Linked DNA regions of Tamandua tetradactyla. The protein of the gene in region 1 interacts with the protein of each later gene in a pairwise test. Links are inferred from orthologs where the notes say so. Each region holds a gene or a part of one and is shown in the gene's direction. Other genes may lie near its edges.

Region 1 (3,745 bases):
TTTTTAAATATTTGAAATCCAAATGTTCATAACAGGGAGTCTATATTTTAATAACTGCATTTATGTTATTTTCCTTACCCAAACTGAGTTTATTTAATCTGTTTGCTGATTGTTTTCTCTTGGTTTATATCGTTTTCATTAGAAGTACAAAAAGTATACAACTTATTTTCAAGATTTTTTTGTTTGCTTTCAAATCCAAACAGCATGAATGTCATTCTTTTTTATATGCTCTACCCGGACTCCTGAAACCAAACTCTGAGAAAGGTTATCTCTGGAAAACGTTTTCAAATCTAGTATATGCCTTAGGGTGGTTAAGGGATAGCTCTGTCTGGAGTAGGAGACTGAAATGATGACCTACAAAGTCTCTTTCAGTTTCTGGACTCCTAGATTCTATGACAATTCTTGGTAGATAAAGGTTTCCTGGTAAGGATTGAGCAAGAAGCATACCTTATTGCTTTATGAATCTTGATAAAGTTGGAGTTTCAGGTTGAAGGCTAGAAGAAGTAAATTAGCTGGGTAATGAGAATGCTTGTTTTCCTGATTCCTATGCCATGGGTTTCTACATTTTGTTGTGGTGTCCTGTGGTGAGTGAAGCCACTGTTGCCATGGAAAATGATGGCAATTTGAATGAAGTAATTCAGAGTGGCCCCTGGAAAACTGGACTGGGCTGTCTACTTCATGTATAAGACCTTGCACAGCACTGTTTGTTGTTATTTAGATGGAAGACATCTCTTCAGTTCCCTTCAATTGAAATGGCAAATAGGTGAGAAACTAAACAGTAATTTGATGGTTTAATACTAAAAAAATAGTCTTGGTAAAAACGCAAAGTAAGGATTAATGCAGAAAAATTACTAAGTGATTTTTCTAAAAATATTATTATTATTTGAATAACATTTAAAGTTGAGGCTGAGGAGGTACAAGGGACCCCAGAACTTTGCATCTAATTTCCCAAAATCAAACTTTCTATCTAATGTAGGTTAACACCAAAAATTATCAATCTAGTCTAAGTACCTGGCTTATTCTCAGTGATTTCTTGCATTTGCAAACCTGTCACACTTTGGTTTTACCTGTCATGAAATCCTTTGTATCATTAAAAAAAAGTCACATTGATTTCTATTAAAAAAAAAAAAAAACTGGAAGAATCCTCAATTTTAAATATCATGTTCCTCGTGCCCTGAACAGAAAACTCCCAGTTTGGGATTTTTTTCTCAAAGGCGTGCGTGCCTAAACTCTTAGCAAGTAATTTGCCACAGGGAGAAGCAAGTGTTAGCCCAAAGGAAAACCCCTTCTATGGGGTTTTCTTTTTTCCCTTTAAGCTGATCACTTTTTAGGAGGAGTTCCCGCTGCATTCTCTAGTCCAAAGTCCTTGCCACCAGATTACCATCTTTTCCACCAATCTGCCAAAGCCTTCATTGGAAAAAACTTCCTCTCTAGTGTCCCCATATGCATTCAGTTCCAGTAGCTCCCTGCGCCCCCATTTCGGACTGGCTTTCAGGATCCAGTTCCCCAAACCACTTCAGGGAAAATTCACACCCTTAGCCCCCTTCCCGGGTGTCCGGAGGAGGCGCCGGGGTGGGAGTCGTGTGGACCGAGGGGGCCGGGATTTTCCGGGGTCCCCGGTGTCCTCCTCGTGTCCCCCACCCCGAGGTGTGCAGGGGGGAGGGGAGCGCGGGTGGGTGGGACTGGGCCGTGTGGGGGAGGGGTGAGGGCGAGGAGGAGGAGGAGTGTGTGTGCGAGCGTGTGTGGCTGGGGGAAGCCATTGCCTGTTTAATAGTTGCTGTTGCTGCACTTCCGCTTCTCTCCCAGCGAGAGAGACACGAGTGGCCAGGCCCAGCCGCAGCCGCAGCAGCAGCCGCCGCGGCGGCACGGAGGAGCCAGACACAAAGAGAGGTACGGGGATCCCCCCGCCGCCTGCCGCCCCCTGGCCGCGCCGCGGGGCCTCGGGGACACCCCTTGCCGCCTCTCCCGACCCGCGCCGCCGGGACCGCCGGGCACGGGGTTGGAGGGGGACGGCGAGGGGCCCAGGAGCCCCAGGGGTCCGGGGCCCGCCCGCGGGGGATGGGTAGGGACCCCAGGCCGCGTGGGGTGCGGGGGCAGCCCGCGTCGGGGGCGGGGGGGGGCATCGTGGCTCGAACTGTCAGCGCTGCCCCGGGAGCCCCCCACTGGCCGCCGAGGGGGCCGGGAGCGGGGGGAGGGGAGTTGGGGGAGCCCAGTTTTCCCCTGGGGTGGGGGCCCGCGGGGATTAGCCCTCCTGGGAGGGCGGACTCATTGTTATTCCTTCGCTGCGGAGGCCGAGTTTCCCCCCACCCCCACCTCCCCAGGGGTGGCGGTCGGGCGTGGGCTCGGGACCCTCAGCCGCGGCCCTGGAGCCCGACTGGGGTGGCCCAGGGGCAGGCCAGCAGGGAGGGGCGTCGGGGCGCAGCGCGTGGCGGGGGGGGGGGGCTTGGGCCTCGTCGCCCCTGCCCCCGCCGGCCTCTCCCTTCCCCCACCCGGGCACCAGCTCCCCGCCTCCGTCCCCCCGTTTCGGCTTCCTCTCTTACTCCTCCCTGCCCCTCCTCTCTTCCCGACCTCGCTAAACTCCGCTCCTGGCCGCAGCACCTCGCTCCGGCCCCCGGCCCCCCGCGACCCTCGAAAAGCCGACAAAAACAGCCCCGAGGCCGAGCGGCCGTCGGGACCTTCCCCCCTGCCCGGCCGAAGCGCCCAGTGCCCCCGCCCTGTCCTGCTCCTCCGCCTACTCGGCCTCTCCCCACCCTGCCCCGAGGGGAGCCCCGGGGGGCGAGGGAGGGGCCGCTTGCTTTACTGCAGACCGTTTTCCCACCGCGTCTCCGACTGGAGCCAAAAATAAACAAACCCGCCGTATCGGATTTGCAAAAGCCTTAATGCGGCTGGAGACTTCGAAAAGCGAGTGGAGGCCGGTGGGCGCCCGGGGGTGCACTCCTTGGCCCGTGCTCTCCTGACAGCGCCCGAGTTCCTTTATTTACACCGGCTGTATGGTTTGTTTCTGTTTTGTTTCCCTCACCCTATAGGGGCTGTTTGTGGGGTGGGGTGGGGGGGTTCGCTATGTCGGATGACGATTCGAGGGCCAGCACCAGCTCCTCCTCATCTTCGTCCTCCAACCAGCAAACCGAGAAAGAAACAAACACCCCCAAGAAGAAGGAGAGTAAAGTCAGCATGAGCAAAAACTCCAAACTCCTCTCCACCAGCGCCAAGAGGTACGGTACTCTTCCCACGCCCCCATCCCACCCCCACCCCGGAGGCTTCCTATTTTCTGAACCTTCTCGGCTTGGTTTGGTCTGCCACCCAAGTGAAGGCAATTTAAGTGTCCTTCATGGTTGTTTTATGTGTTCTTAAAATTGAGAAAAGGGCCTTAGAAGCCCTCATTACTTTCTCTCTGGCTTCTTCTTTTTCTCTTTTAATTATTGTCCATATGTAGTTTCTGTGGTTTGCCTCTCCTATATCTTATTGAGGTTTGTAAGAATCCTCATTACCTTTAACAGTGACCCCCAAATCTGATTTCATATTACTTGTCCTCTTAATCACTGATCTGTCACCCTCCCTACAGCTGTCATCCCTCTTGTTAATTACTAATACCTGCCTGGACAACTCTGTATCACAGTGAGTTCTATTACCCTCTCACTTCCTCCTCACCTGTTGCATGTATGATCTTTTTTGAATAGAGCTTTTTCCGCAAATTGCATAAGGAACAAATAACTCATATCAGTAAGGTAGAACATTTAGGAGGTGA
Region 2 (3,745 bases), on another chromosome or scaffold:
GAGATTAAATAACTTGTCCACAGTTCAAATGCTAGAATGTGGTGGTGTGGGGATCTGAACCCAGACAATCTAAACGCAGAGTCTATTGACTCGCAAAATGAGTCAATGCCTTAGGAAGATGGGTCAGTATGAATACTTCTCTTCTGGTCTTTTTTTCCCCACTGATCCTCCCTCTCTTGGAGTCTGGGGGTAGGAATCCCACCCAAAAGATATCCCTCTTGGTTCACCACCTGAGCACTGTATTTTCTTCGACCCTTGTACACCCTCCCAAAAGAGCCTTCTCCAATCATCTCCAACACATGGTACTTCTCCATAACAAGGTTTCAGGATCCCTCAGAAGGAAGGAGGCAGAGATGGTGGTGAAAGACCACAGCTGCAGGAACAGTTCCACACATCTGCGAGGCCTAGCTGGGATATGGGAGAAGGGTTAACTTCAGCCGTCCTGCCTTTTCCTCTTTCACAATAATACAGCCCTCAAATACATGGGAGGGTGGAATGGACAGAAAGATGAAGGACAAGGTCTTAAGACAAATGGACCATCTCCTAGATCTCCATCTTTTAGGCCTCCTTGCCCCTCCCTCACCTATTCCAGAGATCATCAGACCCCGCCCCACTCGACCCAGCCACGCCCACCAAACCTTCCACCCACGCTGGGCTACCCGATCTCTCCACCCGTCCCAAACCGCGACCTCCTGACCCCTCCCTACTCGACACAGCCTCGCCACTAGACCCTCCGCAGTCAACTCCCATCCCCTCCCAACCTCCCTTAGGTTCCATGCCACTCACAAACTCCCCAACACCCCCTTCCTAACCCCATGCCCGCACACAGCGCAGAAGAAATCTCCTTTCTTACCCCCAGCCCAGGAGCTTCAAGCCCCTTAAGCCGAGGGACGCCAGCTCTGGCCTCCAGCCCCGCCCCCTCTAGCTGCCGACGTACTTTGCCTGATTTATAATCCTTTTCCACCCTCACTGCCGGTTTCTTTAGACGCTCACTCTTGGCAATTTTACTCACTAGCACTAGATAGAGTCTCGGAAGACACGGCGTTCAGAGGTATGGGCGAGACAGTGACCTACCCATAGGCACTTCCTAGGGCACTTCCGAATCTCTCTTGGTCATCAGGCCCCACTAAGGACCCGGAGTCTACGGTTGCCTAGAAACGCCGCTAGACGTTCTCCTCTCAAGTCTCTAGTCCCCGCCCCCCCCCTTTAGCTTTCTGCCTCCCGACCTCCCCAAGAACATTTCCGGTTCCGGCTGCGGACTGGAGGAGATATGGCGGTGTCTGAGTCGGCAGCTGCGGGGGAGGAGGACTGGTAACTTTGGGGAAATGGGCATTGGCTGACTGCCTGGTTTAGCGGTGGCCGCGGAGGGTTCTTACGGCGGGCTGCTGAAGTAGAACGAGGGCTGAGAGATAGCACAGAAGCTGACATCTCACCCTAAGAGAGCGTCTGGACTGGGGAGCGGGTGGGTGGAGGGCATGGGTCATGGTAAGAGGAAACTGGGTCTGGGCCGGGTCTCATCTGATTCGATTTCTTCTTCCTTCCGGCTCCATTCTGTCCATCCTTTTGAACTGCATTTGCTCAGGGGTCCATGGGATGCCTGCTCATCAGACTCCCCAGCACCTCCCTTGTACCTCTGGGAGCCAGTGCCCTACGGCTCGTGTATCACTTCCCTTTGGATCAGCTTATATCCGCCGAGGCCTTTCTTAACCTCTCCTTCCCCTACAGCACTAATGAGGAGTATGTCTGAATAAAGCTTTACACCTTACACAATCTTTCCTAGTCCTTATCGCAAGCATTCCTAACAAGAGACTAGAACCTGGAAGGACTCTTGAATTTGGAAGGAGGATCAGTGTGGGTTTATTACACATTTTATTAGCTTTGTAATGCTGATCACCTAGCTTCTGTGAGTCAGTATCTTCAGCTATAAAAAGAAGTGGGTGTGGCCTCTACTGCATAGAATCCTTGAGAGAATTAGTATGGGTTTGTAACATACATATGCTTCCTTTTCACTAATAACTCTGAGGTAAAGCAGCTGAGGAGATTAGATAAGAGATGAAGTGATTTGCAAAATGTACATATTTACAGCTAGGGATGCAGGTTTTTCTGACTACAAATCTTACAATACTAGGGCATTTCACAGTCCTGCTCCATACAGGCCATCCACGGCTCAAGTCAAAGCTAGGGTGGGTGAAGTATTGAAGGGTGCACAGAATGAGACTACATAGCTCAGCATTTCATTGGTTCAGGGAACCCAGTCACTGCTGGCCTTTGTTGACACTATCTGGGTTAGTGGTTTTCAAATTGTTCATTGGAACATTAAGACTCTGAGGAGACACCTGAAGCCATGTAGAGGGCAGCAGTAGCTATAGAAGCTAACCTGTGGTGCTCTGAGCTTCCCATTCCCATGTCAACCAAAAAACTCCACTGTTAACCTATTTTATATTTTGGGATTTCCACCTAAGACTGGGAAAGAAAGTCTTGAGGACCACTAAAATATAGGCCGTATTACAGCAGTCCTGCTGTTGGTAAGGAGGAAACAGTATAACTTAAGAAAAAGCAAACAAATGCATGCATCTTTCCATGTATTACCTGGGTAGAGCTCTGGACTTCAACCACTCATCTTCAGTGTTGCTGTATAACTCTGCAGTTTCTGAGATTAAATATATATCGTCTTATTTCTAGCCAGTGTCATAAATATATCTAGAGTTCTCTGCTGACTACATCCTTCCACCTTAAAAAGAAGGGAAATGGAAAAAAAGAGGACATAGACTCTGTGGCCCAGATTCTATTAGACACTTTGCATACACAAATCACCTTCAATCCTAACAGTAACCCTAAGGATTGGGTGTTATTATCCATATGAGGTAAACAGAGCAACTCGGTGTACAGAGATAAATAACTACCTAGATCATGTAGCTGAGTGATCTGTAGCTATGACTGACCCCAAGTCTTATTAATAACTTTTCCACTACAACATAGCCTTTATACTACCTAAACCTACGGTCCTGTTCAGATTGGTATCTCCTTTGAGAAGGCGCTTGGGCACTGTCTGAGATCTGTGTTCAATAGTGGCGTGCGAAAAACCAGGAGTAGCATTGATTACTTTGATGCTGTGAATGGACATCATGTTTCTGGGTCAGAGAGGTGGCTGCTAAGGAACAACCAGCACTGGAAAGAAACTTAAATGGGCAGTCAAAAAACCTTGCATTGGTCCCAGTTAGTCTTCTATTAAGGCTTGAGATTGAGGTATTAAACCTCTGTGCCTCAACTGTTGGCAGAAATGATCTCACAGATTCTGATTTCCATGCTTCCTACCTTGCATCTTGACAACTTAATGCAGCTTATTTCCTTTATTTTTATCCTTAAAAAATAGCAAGGGAATACATATAACGGATTGTCATTTTTTCCTATAAAGCCAGCCTTCATTGGTCTTAGAAGTGATCTCACAGCTTCTGATTTCCATGCTTCCTACCTTGCACCTTGACAACTTAAGGCAGCTTATTTCCTTTATTTTTATCTTTAAAAAATAGCAAGGGAGTGCATATAATGGATTGCCACTTTTTTCTATAAAGCCAGCCTTTATTGGCCTTAGCAGGCTTCAGCAGGGAGAGCTGTAGTGTTAAGCCAGTCTCCCCCTGTCTCTCTAGGGTCCTTCTCTCTGAAGTTGAAGTGTTAGAGTCTATCTATCTGGATGAACTACAGGTGGTTAAAGGAAATGGCAGGTACGTATTCAACCAGGGGTGGG
Region 3 (3,745 bases), on another chromosome or scaffold:
CAGAGTGCTTGAAAATAGTGTTGAATGAATGAACGAACGAACACGAGTGTGTGAGAAACACTAGGACTGAGGTGGAAATGTACCTCTCAGATGCAAAATCAAAGTTTGGCCAAGAAACGTTTATTGAGTATCTACTGTGCCCCAGGCCCTGTGGTGCACGCTAAGACACAGGGTAAACAAAACAGGATCCTGCGTGGGACTACAGAGTTTCCCAAACCACTTGTAGCAGCATTATTCTATTTCAGCTTATTTCGTGCTCCCAATGATTTTGAAAATAACGTTTTAGCGAAGTAATATACCCATTTGCTTAAGCCCAAACCAGACTTTCTGATCTAACTAGTGTCCGCAAAGGCTGGGAACCACAAGTGTCCTAGTGCGCTGTTCACCCCAAAACTTCCTCAGCCTAAAATGCTAAGCTTCTTGATGCATATGGTCCTTGGAGCGTGGATAAGGGGATGGGGAAGCTCAGAAAGAATGGACAGCATGTCCACCAGAGGGTGCTGTGGGGGCAAATTTTTGCCAGGAGGGGAGCTTGACCATTGACCCTCAGAGCCAGGTAAGCGTATTGGGTAATTTTAATTTCTTCTTGGGTTTCCTTTTCAGCCCCTTAAACCATCACCGCCCTTTTCCATGCACCCCGCCCCACAACCACCACCACATTTGATTTCCCAGGAAAAACTGGCCACATTCTGGGACTTAAAGAGTGCTTCCGTTGAAGAGACGTCTTGCTTCTGTTTTTGACGCCCAGTGCCTTAGATCACGCAGGTCACAGGCCGACCTGGGGTAGGAGGCTAGGTGGCGGCCTCAGGGCCGTCAGCGGCCCGGGGCGGCGCAGGGGCAGCGAAGGGGTTAACCCGACGGGGGGGGGGGTGGGGGCGGGGGCGCGGGCCGCGCCTGCGCTCTGCCGCCCTCCATTGTCTCCGCGGCGGCGAGGAGCGCCGGCGAGCGCAGCCCGGGACCGAGCTGGGCGGCGCGGCTGGCCCGGCTGGCGGCGGCTGGAGCGAGATCGCGACGCGACACGACGGCGGCTTCCCGAGCCCCGCCTGGCCGCCCAGCGCCGCAGCTCACCCGAGGCCTGGAGGGGTCTGGGCCGCCGTCCACGGTCGCAGCGTCCTGAGGCGGGGGACGCGCCGGGTGCCCCCAGCTCTCCTCTGCCGCCTCCTCTCGGGCGGGCGGCCTCCTCCTGCGCCTCCTTCCCTCGCTCCCCGCGGCTCCCGCGACTTTCGGGAGCCCGGGGGCGGCCTGTGGCGTTCAGAGTCCCCGCCGGACTGCGCCTCTTTGGACCTTGAGGGGAAACATGCGTTTGCCTTGGATCGTTTTAAATTCTTAGTTTGGGATCCCCGCCCGCTTGCCTCTTCCACCCGCGGGTTTTCCCTTTTTTTTTTTTCCTTCTTTTTCTTTTTTCCCTTTTTCCCTCCCGCTCTCCTTTTTTACTCCCTCCCCCTTTATGCTCGCCCACCCCTCTCCCCGCTGCTGAGAAGTGAGGGAGGGTCTCGGCCTCCAGGTTCCCTCCCCATCGGGGCCCGGGCGAGCATGGGGGGCAAGCAGAGCACGGCGGCCCGCTCCCGGGGCCCCTTTCCGGGGGTCTCCACCGATGACAGCGCCGTGCCCCCGCCGGGAGGGGCGCCCCACTTTGGGCACTACCGGACGGGCGGCGGGGCCATGGGGCTGCGCAGCCGCTCGGTCAGCTCGGTGGCGGGCATGGGCATGGACCCCAGCACGGCCGGAGGGGTGCCCTTTGGCCTCTACACCCCCGCCTCCCGGGGGACCGGCGACTCAGAGAGGGCGCCCAGCGGCGGAGGGTCTGCGTCGGATTCCACCTATGCCCATGGCAATGGTTACCAAGAGACGGGCGGCGGTCACCATAGAGACGGGATGCTGTACCTGGGCTCCCGAGCCTCGCTGGCGGATGCTCTACCTCTGCACATCGCACCTAGGTGGTTCAGCTCGCACAGTGGTGAGTCCACGGGTGGTGGAGGCTTCGGAGGGTGGAGAACAAGGGAGGGCGCGCCGAGGCGCCCCAAACCTTCACGCGCGTGCAGAGGTTTGGATATGGAGCGCGCGACCTGAATCTGTCTGCTTTCCCCTGGTTCCGATCCCGAGGGATCCAGAAAGGAGGCTTCCGAGCTCGGAGCCAGGCGTTTTAGGACTTGAGGCGTTTGTTCACTTGTGGTAGGGCAGAGTGAAACCTGCCTCCCGAGGTCCCATTTATTGGTATCAGAATCCTCAGAGAAGAGGTCTTGTCTGGCTGGGAGGAAGTCAGCTTGGGTGTCTCTAGCACTGCAGCATCGTGTCTACCTCGCCATTAACAGAAAAAAGGATCCACTTTGACCAAGCAGTGTCTTTTAAACAAAGCAAAGGGTGTGAAAAGAAATATAATTGGGGGGGCAACTGGTGTTTGCATTAGGGCTCTCACCCTTCCTGGGAGAGAGGGTGCCCAGTTTTGCTGGAGATCTGTTTGATTTGTTTAATGTGGAGCAGCCGGTGAGCTTCTGGCAGAGACAGGTGTGGCCTGCTGTATTGAGGGCTCCATCCAGGGAGCCTCCCTCTGAGGCTTTGCGGGACCTGGCTCTGGTCACCCGTGTAGCATGCAGTAAGCTCTGCTCAATGGCTCTCACATCCCTCCATCTTTTTTTCTTCCCCTCCATGCTAAGTGTTTGCTCTTCCCATGAATCTGCATCTTTTCATACCAGAGAGCCTGGCAAGGTGGGATTTTCTTGCCTGGCTATTGACACATGACAGGGGAAGAGGAGGATACAGAGAACCTGAGTGAATTCATCTTCTGAACTTCTGGGCAAAAGGTTGGAGGAGGGTTTCCCGGGCTGTGGCAGGAGCTCCTGGAGGAAAACAGGTCTTTTGCTCAGCTAACCTGAAAACCCAGGTTAGGTGTCTAGAAAATTGCTTGAAAAAGGGTGTAGAACCACTATCTGCTGATTGGCAAGTCGAAGTGAATAAGTTACACATTCAGATTGCTTTGGGAGAGTTGAGAAAATTTAGATATTTAGGATAAAAATTGCTTCTGCCCTTCAGGATACTTTATGGAAGCTATATTTTTTGGATCGTGTTTTAGCTATTGTGAAATAGGGCAGACTTTTTGCATCCCTTTTTTTACTGGAAATAGTCTGAATTTGTTTTTGTTTTCAATTCTGTAAACTTGAATTTGTGAAATAATTTTTGAGGGAAATAGTGACTGATTTAGAGTGACTCTTGAAAGTGACTTTTGGATTGTGAAGGTATTTTAATCTCTAAACAGTCCTCCAGGTATCAGTGGGAAGTCTCTGACCTGTATGAGACCCTGCCCTGAATGCAATGTAAGGCAGGATGCCTTTGGCACTTTTAGGCATTTGATCAGTTTTAGGCATCTTTTTTTTTTTTTAACTTTTTATTGTAACTTACATACAATTCAGAATTTCTGTATTTAAACAATTTCATGTGTACAATTCAGTAGTATGGATTACATTCACAGTATTGTGCCACCATCACCAACATAAATTATCCCAGTTTTGTCTTCACCTCTGTGCTCATTAAGCAATAATTCTCCCAACCCTACCCTCTGGTAGCCTGTAATCTACTATCTGACTCTATGAAATGTGCTTTTTCTAGGAGTTTTCATATAAGTGAGATCATATAATAGTTGTCTTTTGTGTCTGACATGTTTTATTCAATCTGATGTCTTCGAGATTCATCCATGTTGTAGCGTGTATGAGAGATTCCTTTTATGGCTGAATAATATTCCATTGTGTGT

Evidence for each region.
Region 2: the proteins of UBE2E1 (region 1) and RNF25 interact in binary tests that used the Homo sapiens proteins (3 or more experiments, as listed by UniProt). The link is inferred for Tamandua tetradactyla from reciprocal best matches to the Homo sapiens genes UBE2E1 and RNF25.
Region 3: the proteins of UBE2E1 (region 1) and ZNRF1 interact in binary tests that used the Homo sapiens proteins (3 or more experiments, as listed by UniProt). The link is inferred for Tamandua tetradactyla from reciprocal best matches to the Homo sapiens genes UBE2E1 and ZNRF1.

The regions. Positions count from the first base shown.
Region 1 is NC_135341.1:64,541,273-64,545,017, reverse strand, and holds the start of UBE2E1 (ubiquitin-conjugating enzyme E2 E1), read left to right. Parts: upstream 1-1,539; 5' UTR 1,540-1,647; intron 1,648-1,785; exon of another isoform or gene 1,786-1,806; 5' UTR 1,807-1,890; intron 1,891-2,874; exon of another isoform or gene 2,875-2,990; coding exon of another isoform or gene 2,991-2,993; intron 2,994-3,026; 5' UTR 3,027-3,060; coding exon 3,061-3,212; intron 3,213-3,272; exon of another isoform or gene 3,273-3,745. UniProt on the Homo sapiens protein: Accepts ubiquitin from the E1 complex and catalyzes its covalent attachment to other proteins. Catalyzes the covalent attachment of ISG15 to other proteins. Mediates the selective degradation of short-lived and abnormal proteins.
Region 2 is NC_135329.1:194,207,321-194,211,065, reverse strand, and holds the start of RNF25 (E3 ubiquitin-protein ligase RNF25), read left to right. Parts: upstream 1-1,162; 5' UTR 1,163-1,270; coding exon 1,271-1,311; intron 1,312-3,647; coding exon 3,648-3,722; intron 3,723-3,745. Other genes in the region: STK36 (serine/threonine-protein kinase 36), read right to left, coding at 231-314. UniProt on the Homo sapiens protein: E3 ubiquitin-protein ligase that plays a key role in the RNF14-RNF25 translation quality control pathway, a pathway that takes place when a ribosome has stalled during translation, and which promotes ubiquitination and degradation of translation factors on stalled ribosomes.
Region 3 is NC_135342.1:69,506,135-69,509,879, forward strand, and holds the start of ZNRF1 (E3 ubiquitin-protein ligase ZNRF1), read left to right. Parts: upstream 1-989; 5' UTR 990-1,533; coding exon 1,534-1,957; intron 1,958-3,745. UniProt on the Homo sapiens protein: E3 ubiquitin-protein ligase that plays a role in different processes including cell differentiation, receptor recycling or regulation of inflammation. Mediates the ubiquitination of AKT1 and GLUL, thereby playing a role in neuron cells differentiation.